Linked DNA regions of Caenorhabditis elegans. The protein of the gene in region 1 purifies or fractionates together with the protein of each later gene. This does not show direct contact. Each region holds a gene or a part of one and is shown on either strand. Other genes may lie near its edges.

Region 1 (3,754 bases):
ACCATTTGAATTTTTAGAAAATTGAAGAAAAATCGTTCAATCAGTAAAAAACTACATTTTTTAAGAAAAAAAAATTCAAAAACCTCACGGCAATTTGCCGATTTGCCGGAAATTTTCAATTCCGGCAATTTGACGATTTGCCGATTTTTCAATTTGCCAGAAATATTAATCTTCGGCAAATTGCCGATTTGCCGGAAATTTTCAATTTCGTCAAATTACCTTTTGCCGATTTGCCGGAAATTTTTAATTCCGGCAGATTACTGATTTGCTGGAAATTTTCAATTCCTGCTATTTGCCGGTTTGCCGATTTGCCGAAAATTTGCAATTTGCCGGTTTGCCGGAATTTGACAATTCCGGCAATGTTCCGATTTGCCGGAATTGTTAATTTTCTCTAATTCGCCGGTTTGTCAGAATTTTCCAATTCCGGCAATTCGCCGGTTTGCCGGAATCGGTCATTTTCGCTAATTTGCCGATTTGCCCGAATTTTCCGATTCCGGCAATTCACCGATTTGCCGGAAATTTTCATTTTCGGCATATTTCCGATTTGCCGGAACTGTTCAATTAAGACCGTTTGCCGGTTTTCCGATTTGCCGGAAATTTTTATTTTCGGCAAATTGCCACTTTGCCGGAAATTTTCATTTTCGGCGATTTGTCGAAAATAAAAATTTCCGGCAATTTGCCGGTTTGCCGATTTCCGAAAATTTTAAATTCCGGAGATTTGCTGATTTGCCAGAAAATTTTTGGCAAATTGCCGGTTTCCTGGAATTTTTCAATTCCGGCAATGTGCCGATTTGCCGGAATTGTTAATCTTCGTCGATTTGCCGGTTTGTCGGAAATTTAAATTGGTTTAAATTATCTGGAAAACTATTATGACCCATAATTCCCGGATTCAAAAAAAAATCATAAAATCTCTGCAAATATATTTTTTTTATTTCAGAAAATGATAGACATGAAAGATCATTGCCGTGTAAATATGGTTGCTGCGTGTTCATCACAAGTGTATGCAACTGGATGGTGTGCTCATGGACCACATGGAATAATTGTAGACACTCAACAACAATCAATTTTTGTTGCCGATCAAATTGCCGCAGACTTTGCACAATTTAAAGATAGCACATCTAATGGAGTTGAAGAATTACTTGAAGATCGAAAAGTTCCATTTATATCATGGGATGAATGGAAACAAATTGATAGACAAGAACAAGACACTGGAAAGCTATCTGGAAAGATTCGAGAAAAGTTCACAACTTTTGAGAAATTTCTCACGAAATTGAAGAAATGCAATTAGAAAATGCCATAAATTATCGAGTTTTCTTTCACCCTTTTTTCCGGGTTTTACTGGAATTTCAGTACATTTTCTGTATTTAACTAGACACTTCTAGATAGAATAAATCTTTTTTTTTATTTTTTTATTGGATTTTTTTCCAGATTTTGGTCATTTTGCCAAATTTATTACCTTATTTGAATTATTTGATATTCTGATCCAAAAACAAATTGCATTTTAATGAGAAATTGGAAAATTCCCAGTAATTTTTGAATTTTTTTGATAAATATTTTAAAAATTTGCAAAAATATTTGAAAAAAGTATCAAATTTCTCATATATTTTCCAAAGAAAAAACAATTAATTTATAGAAAAGTCTGAAAAACGTTGAAAAAGGTAAAAATAGGAATTTAAAAATTATATAAAACGACCGATTTTTAATTGTTTTTTAAATTTTGATTAATTTGAAAAATTTAAAAAAAAACTTTTTTTTGGTATATATTTTTTTCAGATTTTGGCAATTCTGCCAAATTTATTACCTTTAATTTGTGTGATATTTCTCTAATTTTAAAAAAAGTTCCTTACGAAACTATCAGGAAATTTTACAAAAAATTTTAATTAATAAAATGCTTGAGAAGAAACTTTTTTAAAGAAATTTTCTCACCAGTAGTTTCAAATTTCTCATGATTTTTCTGAAGAAAAATTAAATCAAAATTTCTTTTTTTTTTTTCGAAAAAGATCAGAAATATAAATTTAAAAAAATATTTTTTCAGAAAACTCTAATGAATTTGGAATCACGAATTCTGGACGGAAAGCCTGCGGGTTACTGTAGCAGCTCAGAAGGTGAAGAGGACGATTTCAAAGTTGTAAACGATGAGGATGAGCATCAGGCGAATGTAATGAAGAGAATGGGACCATCTTCGAATACTGGAGCAAAAGGAGTGCTCAATGAGTTCAAAGCGTTCAGAGAACAGACTAGATTGTGAGACTATTTAAAAAATTCTTAAAAATTAAAAAAAAAATTTTGTAAATTTTCAGAGCTGTCGAATCAAAAAATCAGAAATTAATTGAGCAAGCGAAGAAAGGAATGATGATTGGATCGAAAGAAGAACGAGAAAAAGCACAACGAGAAGATGATGAAGATGAGGATTTTGAGATGACTTTGGAGGGATTAAAAGCGAAGAGACTTAGAGAAATGAGAAAAATTGCAGCAAATCGGGTTATTGAAATGACTGATAAGGTATAGGAACAATCAAAAAATACTTTTTTTTTTTTATTGTGAAAACTTTTGAAAACTTTTTAGAAAATATGGGAAAAAAAGAAAATTTCTCCAAAATGAATAAGAAAAATTGGCAAAAATTACCAGAAAACTGGAAAAAAAATTTTTTTTTCACTTTCCGAGTAAAAAATTAATTTCGAAAAAAAAAATACCAAAGATTTTCGATTTTTTTTCTAGAAAATTCAAAAGTCTCTCAATCTTTTTCTAGAAACATTTAAAAACTTGTCGAAATTTCAAAAAATCAAAATTTCTAAAAGTTTCGATATTTCCTTTTTTGATTTTTTAGAAAAAAACTTTTAAAATTATTTTTACAATTTTTAGTCGGAAATTTATTTTTTTTTAATTCGAAAAATTTCGTTATTTTTCAATTTTTTTCCACAATGACGTCGAGAAATTAATATTTTGATTTTATTTTTAAAAAATCAATTTTATTTTTAATAAAATAATAATTTTTTCTAATTTCTCGACATCGCCCCGTTGTCGTTAAAAATTCAAATATCGGCATTTTTCGAATTAAAAAAGTTGCTTTCTTTTCTTAAAAAAATCAAAAAAGGATATATCGAAACTTTTTCGATTTTTTCTCGAAAATTTAAAAAAAATCAGGTTTCCGTTTTTCGAGAAAAAAAAATTGCAAAATAATAGAAATTTTGATTTTTTTTTAAATTTCGACTAAAAATAAATAAAAAACGATTTTTTAACGGAAAATGATAAATAATGAAAACTAAAATTATTCAATTTTCCAAAAAAAATTAGCTTTTCTTCTTCATTTTATCGATTTCAAACATCCTTCAAAAATGCTCCAAGAAATTTCAGAAACAATATTCGGATGCCGTTGATGGAAGTTCATCATATCTTCTCTGTGTTCTAATATATGAGCCTGAATCCGATGAATGTGAATATTTGACACGAATCGTTAAGATTCTCGCCGCCGATTGTCCGAAAACCAAATTCGTTCGAGCGACAAGCACTCTTCTTGAAATGAGCAGAGCATTTGTATGTAATACGTTTCAGGGTCCCGACACGACAAATTTTTAGTTAAATGCGAAAAGGTCTTGCGCCTTTGAAGAGTACTGTAGTTTCAAACTTCCGAATTTTCAAAAGTTTTAAATTTTTTTTCGAAAGCACTATACACGTGATGTGAGAGTTTCTCATTTCGGCTTGATCTACGTAGATCTACAAAAATGCGGGAGAAAAGACGCAGAGTTCTCAACTG
Region 2 (3,694 bases), 1.6 Mb from region 1:
ATTTCATTTACATCAAGAATTTAGTTATTCAAATACCTGATAAGCGATTCGCGACTTGTGTGCATGCTCTTCTCTGTTGATATCGTCGTATTGGACCAGATACCTAAAATGGTCGGCGACCATGCCACCGAAGAGAGCCTTAGTTTCATCATTTAGCGCATAGTCTCAAGCCAAACAGGCGGGGCAGTTCAAAAATAGTTTGATATATAGTTTGATATAGTTTGATGAATAGTGGCGTGGAGTACGGTTTCGCGGCAATTCAAATACTACTATTCTTGAGACCAGACGAATCGGACGATTAACGGCGGCGAGGGATTCGGATCGGGGGAACCCAATCTGTGGGACGGGCCACGCCCACGATCAAATTTTGCAACCTCCGCACGGTTCTATGGGCGTGGCCAATCCCCCGATGTCAACAAATTTTAAAAAAAACCTTCCCCGATTTTATAAATATTTCAGCTTGAAATCGCGATGTTCATTTGCGAACTCGAGGCATTTTCGAAACGTTAAATGTTCCCGCGCAATAATGCTCCGCTGAACAGTGCACGCTTTTTGTGTAGATTCATTTAAATATTCATTTTCCGTCAGATTTCATGTAGAAACCCAAAGATTCGCTCATTTCGCTGCTCGATCTTTTCTTTTTCTTCATTCAACCGTATATTATATGCATTTTTCGTTTAAACGTTTTTCAAAAATTTTTAAAAATTGCTTACAATCTTCTTTGTAAAAAGAATATATTTTGCAACCAATTTTTTCGATTCTCCATGGAAAACTTATCAATTTAAACTGCATTCACTGTTACACTGATAATGCTTTGAACGACGGCGGTCGGAGAACTTCCAACCGATTACTGTTCTCCAATTTCATGTTTCTAGAAAAAAAGAAATTTCTGTCGTTTCATAACATGTTTTAACACGCAGAGCCTTTTTTTTTCGAATGAACCGCCATTTTCTTTAAAGGCGCAAGCTATTCCCTCTGCGCGATATTTCGCCGCGAAAAAAGAAGCCCCGCGAAAAAACGTATTCGAACCGCGGAATTTCCGCGAATTTGTTGCTGGTTTCTTCTAGAATTCAACGATTCAATGCTCATTTCATCACAATTTTTTTTTGTAAAATTATCCTTCTCGCTTTTATGCTCCTCTTGCCCTCAATTTTCTGTCTAAAAGCTATCATTTCCTCTGATTTCTTCCTCGATTTTCAAATGTTGGCCCAAAATAGTGATTTTTTCTTTAATTATATCCTAATCCCCACCAACACGATTTAGCAATTCTCGAAAATTATTTTTTTGCGTTGTTCAGGTAAAAGTCCTGACGAAACCTCCTGAGTTTTGTGTAACGTGCTCACCGAAAGATTAGTGTGCTTGCTGCGCCCGTTGTCACCACTGCCATTCATCCTTCTATTCCCGTGTTTTCTTATCAAATGCCCAAAAAATCTGAAATTTTTTGTGTAGACAATGCTATATATGAGGAGCGAATGTGTGCGCCAGAGAAAAAGACGGACAGACACAAATTGAGTGAGTGTGCGTTGCCCACTTTAGTTGTTGTCATGCGACGGCGGCGGCACGCGCTCTCTCATCGGCCGGCACTGCTGTCCATCGATTTTTCTTCTTTCAAACGTCGTGCGGGCTGTTTCGAATGTTCTAGGGCTCTCCGTTTCGATTATTACTCTCGCCTATGTTCTTCTCTTTTCGTTCTCAATATTTCATTATAAATTTTGTTTCAGAAGACTTGCTCACTGAAAAAATGTCCGATACCGTGGAAGAGCTCGTTCAACGCGCCAAGCTTGCCGAACAAGCCGAGCGATACGATGATATGGCTGCCGCCATGAAGAAAGTAAGATAAAACATCATTTACGGAGGTTTCAAATTTACTATTTTTCAGGTGACCGAGCAGGGACAGGAGCTTTCCAACGAAGAGCGTAACCTTCTCTCTGTTGCCTACAAAAACGTCGTCGGAGCTCGCCGTTCATCGTGGAGAGTTATCTCTTCCATTGAGCAAAAGACCGAGGGATCCGAGAAGAAGCAACAACTCGCCAAGGAATACCGCGTCAAGGTAACTACACCAAGCAAGATTTTATTAATTTCAAGAATTTTAGTAACTTATTTACATTATTTCAGGTTGAGCAAGAACTCAACGACATCTGCCAAGATGTGCTCAAGCTCCTCGACGAGTTCCTCATTGTCAAGGCTGGAGCTGCTGAGTCGAAGGTCTTCTATCTCAAGATGAAAGGAGATTACTACAGATACCTCGCCGAGGTCGCTTCAGAGGATCGCGCTGCCGTTGTTGAGAAGTCCCAGAAGGCTTACCAGGTATTTGAAAATAACTAAATTCTTGATGTAAATGGCATGACTTTCAGGAGGCTCTTGATATCGCTAAGGACAAGATGCAGCCAACCCACCCAATTCGCCTTGGACTTGCCCTCAACTTCTCTGTCTTCTACTACGAGATCTTGAACACTCCAGAGCACGCTTGCCAACTCGCGAAACAGGCTTTCGATGATGCTATTGCTGAGCTCGACACGTTGAACGAGGATTCGTACAAGGACTCGACCTTGATCATGCAACTTCTACGTGACAATCTCACTCTCTGGACATCTGACGTTGGAGCTGAAGATCAAGAGCAGGAGGGAAACCAGGAAGCTGGAAACTAAGTACGATTTCAAAATGTTTTATTGCCATTATATAAAGCTGACCTTTTTCCTCTTTTCCTTTCACATCAAATCTTGCTTCGAAAAAATAGTTTCGGTTTTCAGAGAGCTGAACTCCGTTCTCTTTCCTCGCATCTCTTCAACTTTCAGTTATCCTCCAACATTTCCGGTACGTTAGCCGAGAGAGTTGCCTAATCACCGTTTTTGTTTTAGACTTAACGTATTCACCAATACTCCATACAACACTGCGCAATAGCATCATGAAAGAAAATTCGGTCTTCAAGTGCTCTAGATCTCCAAGCCATAATTCTCTTCATGCTCTATTTCGCTGTAATTCACTCCGTCACTATTGTCATTCCTAAAATGGCGTATTGTTCTATGATTATTATGTGCTGTAAAGTATAATGAACCCCCATCTTCCATTTTTCTCTTATTATCCCCGATCTTTATTTTTAGATCTTTTTGAACATAAATGTTTGGTGAACTTTTCCGGTTGTCCGAATTTCATCACAACTTTCCAGGAGTTTTTCGAGTAATGGAATGGAATTTATTTTCAGATTTCGATGAAGGAGCATAAATAGGATAAAACATTTGCATTAACCTCTTAGAAGGTCTCAACACGAAAAATTAAATGAAATGTGAAAAAGTGTGCGCCTTTAAGCTGCCGAAAATTTTTTGATAGTTTCTTCCACGATTCGTTAAAAATTAAGTGTTTTATGGTAACATTTGAGTGTTCTTTTGAAAATAAATATATTCTTTGTCGAAAAACTATGAAACATCGATAAAAATTCCGCAGCAATAGAAGTTTAAAATTACAGTACTCTTTAAAGACTCACACCTTTTTGCGTTCAACAAATATTAGACGTGTCGAGACTAAGTACCGTACTTTTGGCGCAAAAAGCTCAAAATTTCGCTCCTGGGCAATATAATTTTCGGAAAAAAACTTAATTCTGGAGACTTCATGTGTTTTCACAGATCATGACGAGACCGATTGAGAAACATTTGGAAATACATTTTTCTTCAATATATCTTCAAAGTGGCCGATTGTA

What was found. Proteins that work in one complex are often made in the same cells at the same time.
Region 2: the proteins of mau-8 (region 1) and par-5 purify together in Caenorhabditis elegans (affinity purification with western blotting, with the first as the bait; one study listed by BioGRID). This does not show direct contact.

The regions. Positions count from the first base shown.
Region 1 is NC_003282.8:13,375,981-13,379,734, forward strand, and holds the start of mau-8 (Phosducin domain-containing protein), read left to right. Parts: upstream 1-2,035; 5' UTR 2,036-2,044; coding exon 2,045-2,244; intron 2,245-2,300; coding exon 2,301-2,502; intron 2,503-3,354; coding exon 3,355-3,534; intron 3,535-3,754. Other genes in the region: Y62E10A.6 (NADPH:adrenodoxin oxidoreductase, mitochondrial), read left to right, coding at 938-1,288.
Region 2 is NC_003282.8:11,819,945-11,823,638, reverse strand, and holds par-5 (14-3-3-like protein 1), read left to right. Parts: upstream 1-1,721; 5' UTR 1,722-1,741; coding exon 1,742-1,831; intron 1,832-1,879; coding exon 1,880-2,050; intron 2,051-2,115; coding exon 2,116-2,307; intron 2,308-2,354; coding exon 2,355-2,648; intron 2,649-2,750; 3' UTR 2,751-2,814; intron 2,815-2,858; 3' UTR 2,859-3,133; downstream 3,134-3,694. Other genes in the region: M117.3 (14-3-3 domain-containing protein), read right to left, coding at 37-123. UniProt on the Caenorhabditis elegans protein: Required to modulate lifespan, in concert with hcf-1, acting redundantly with 14-3-3-like protein ftt-2.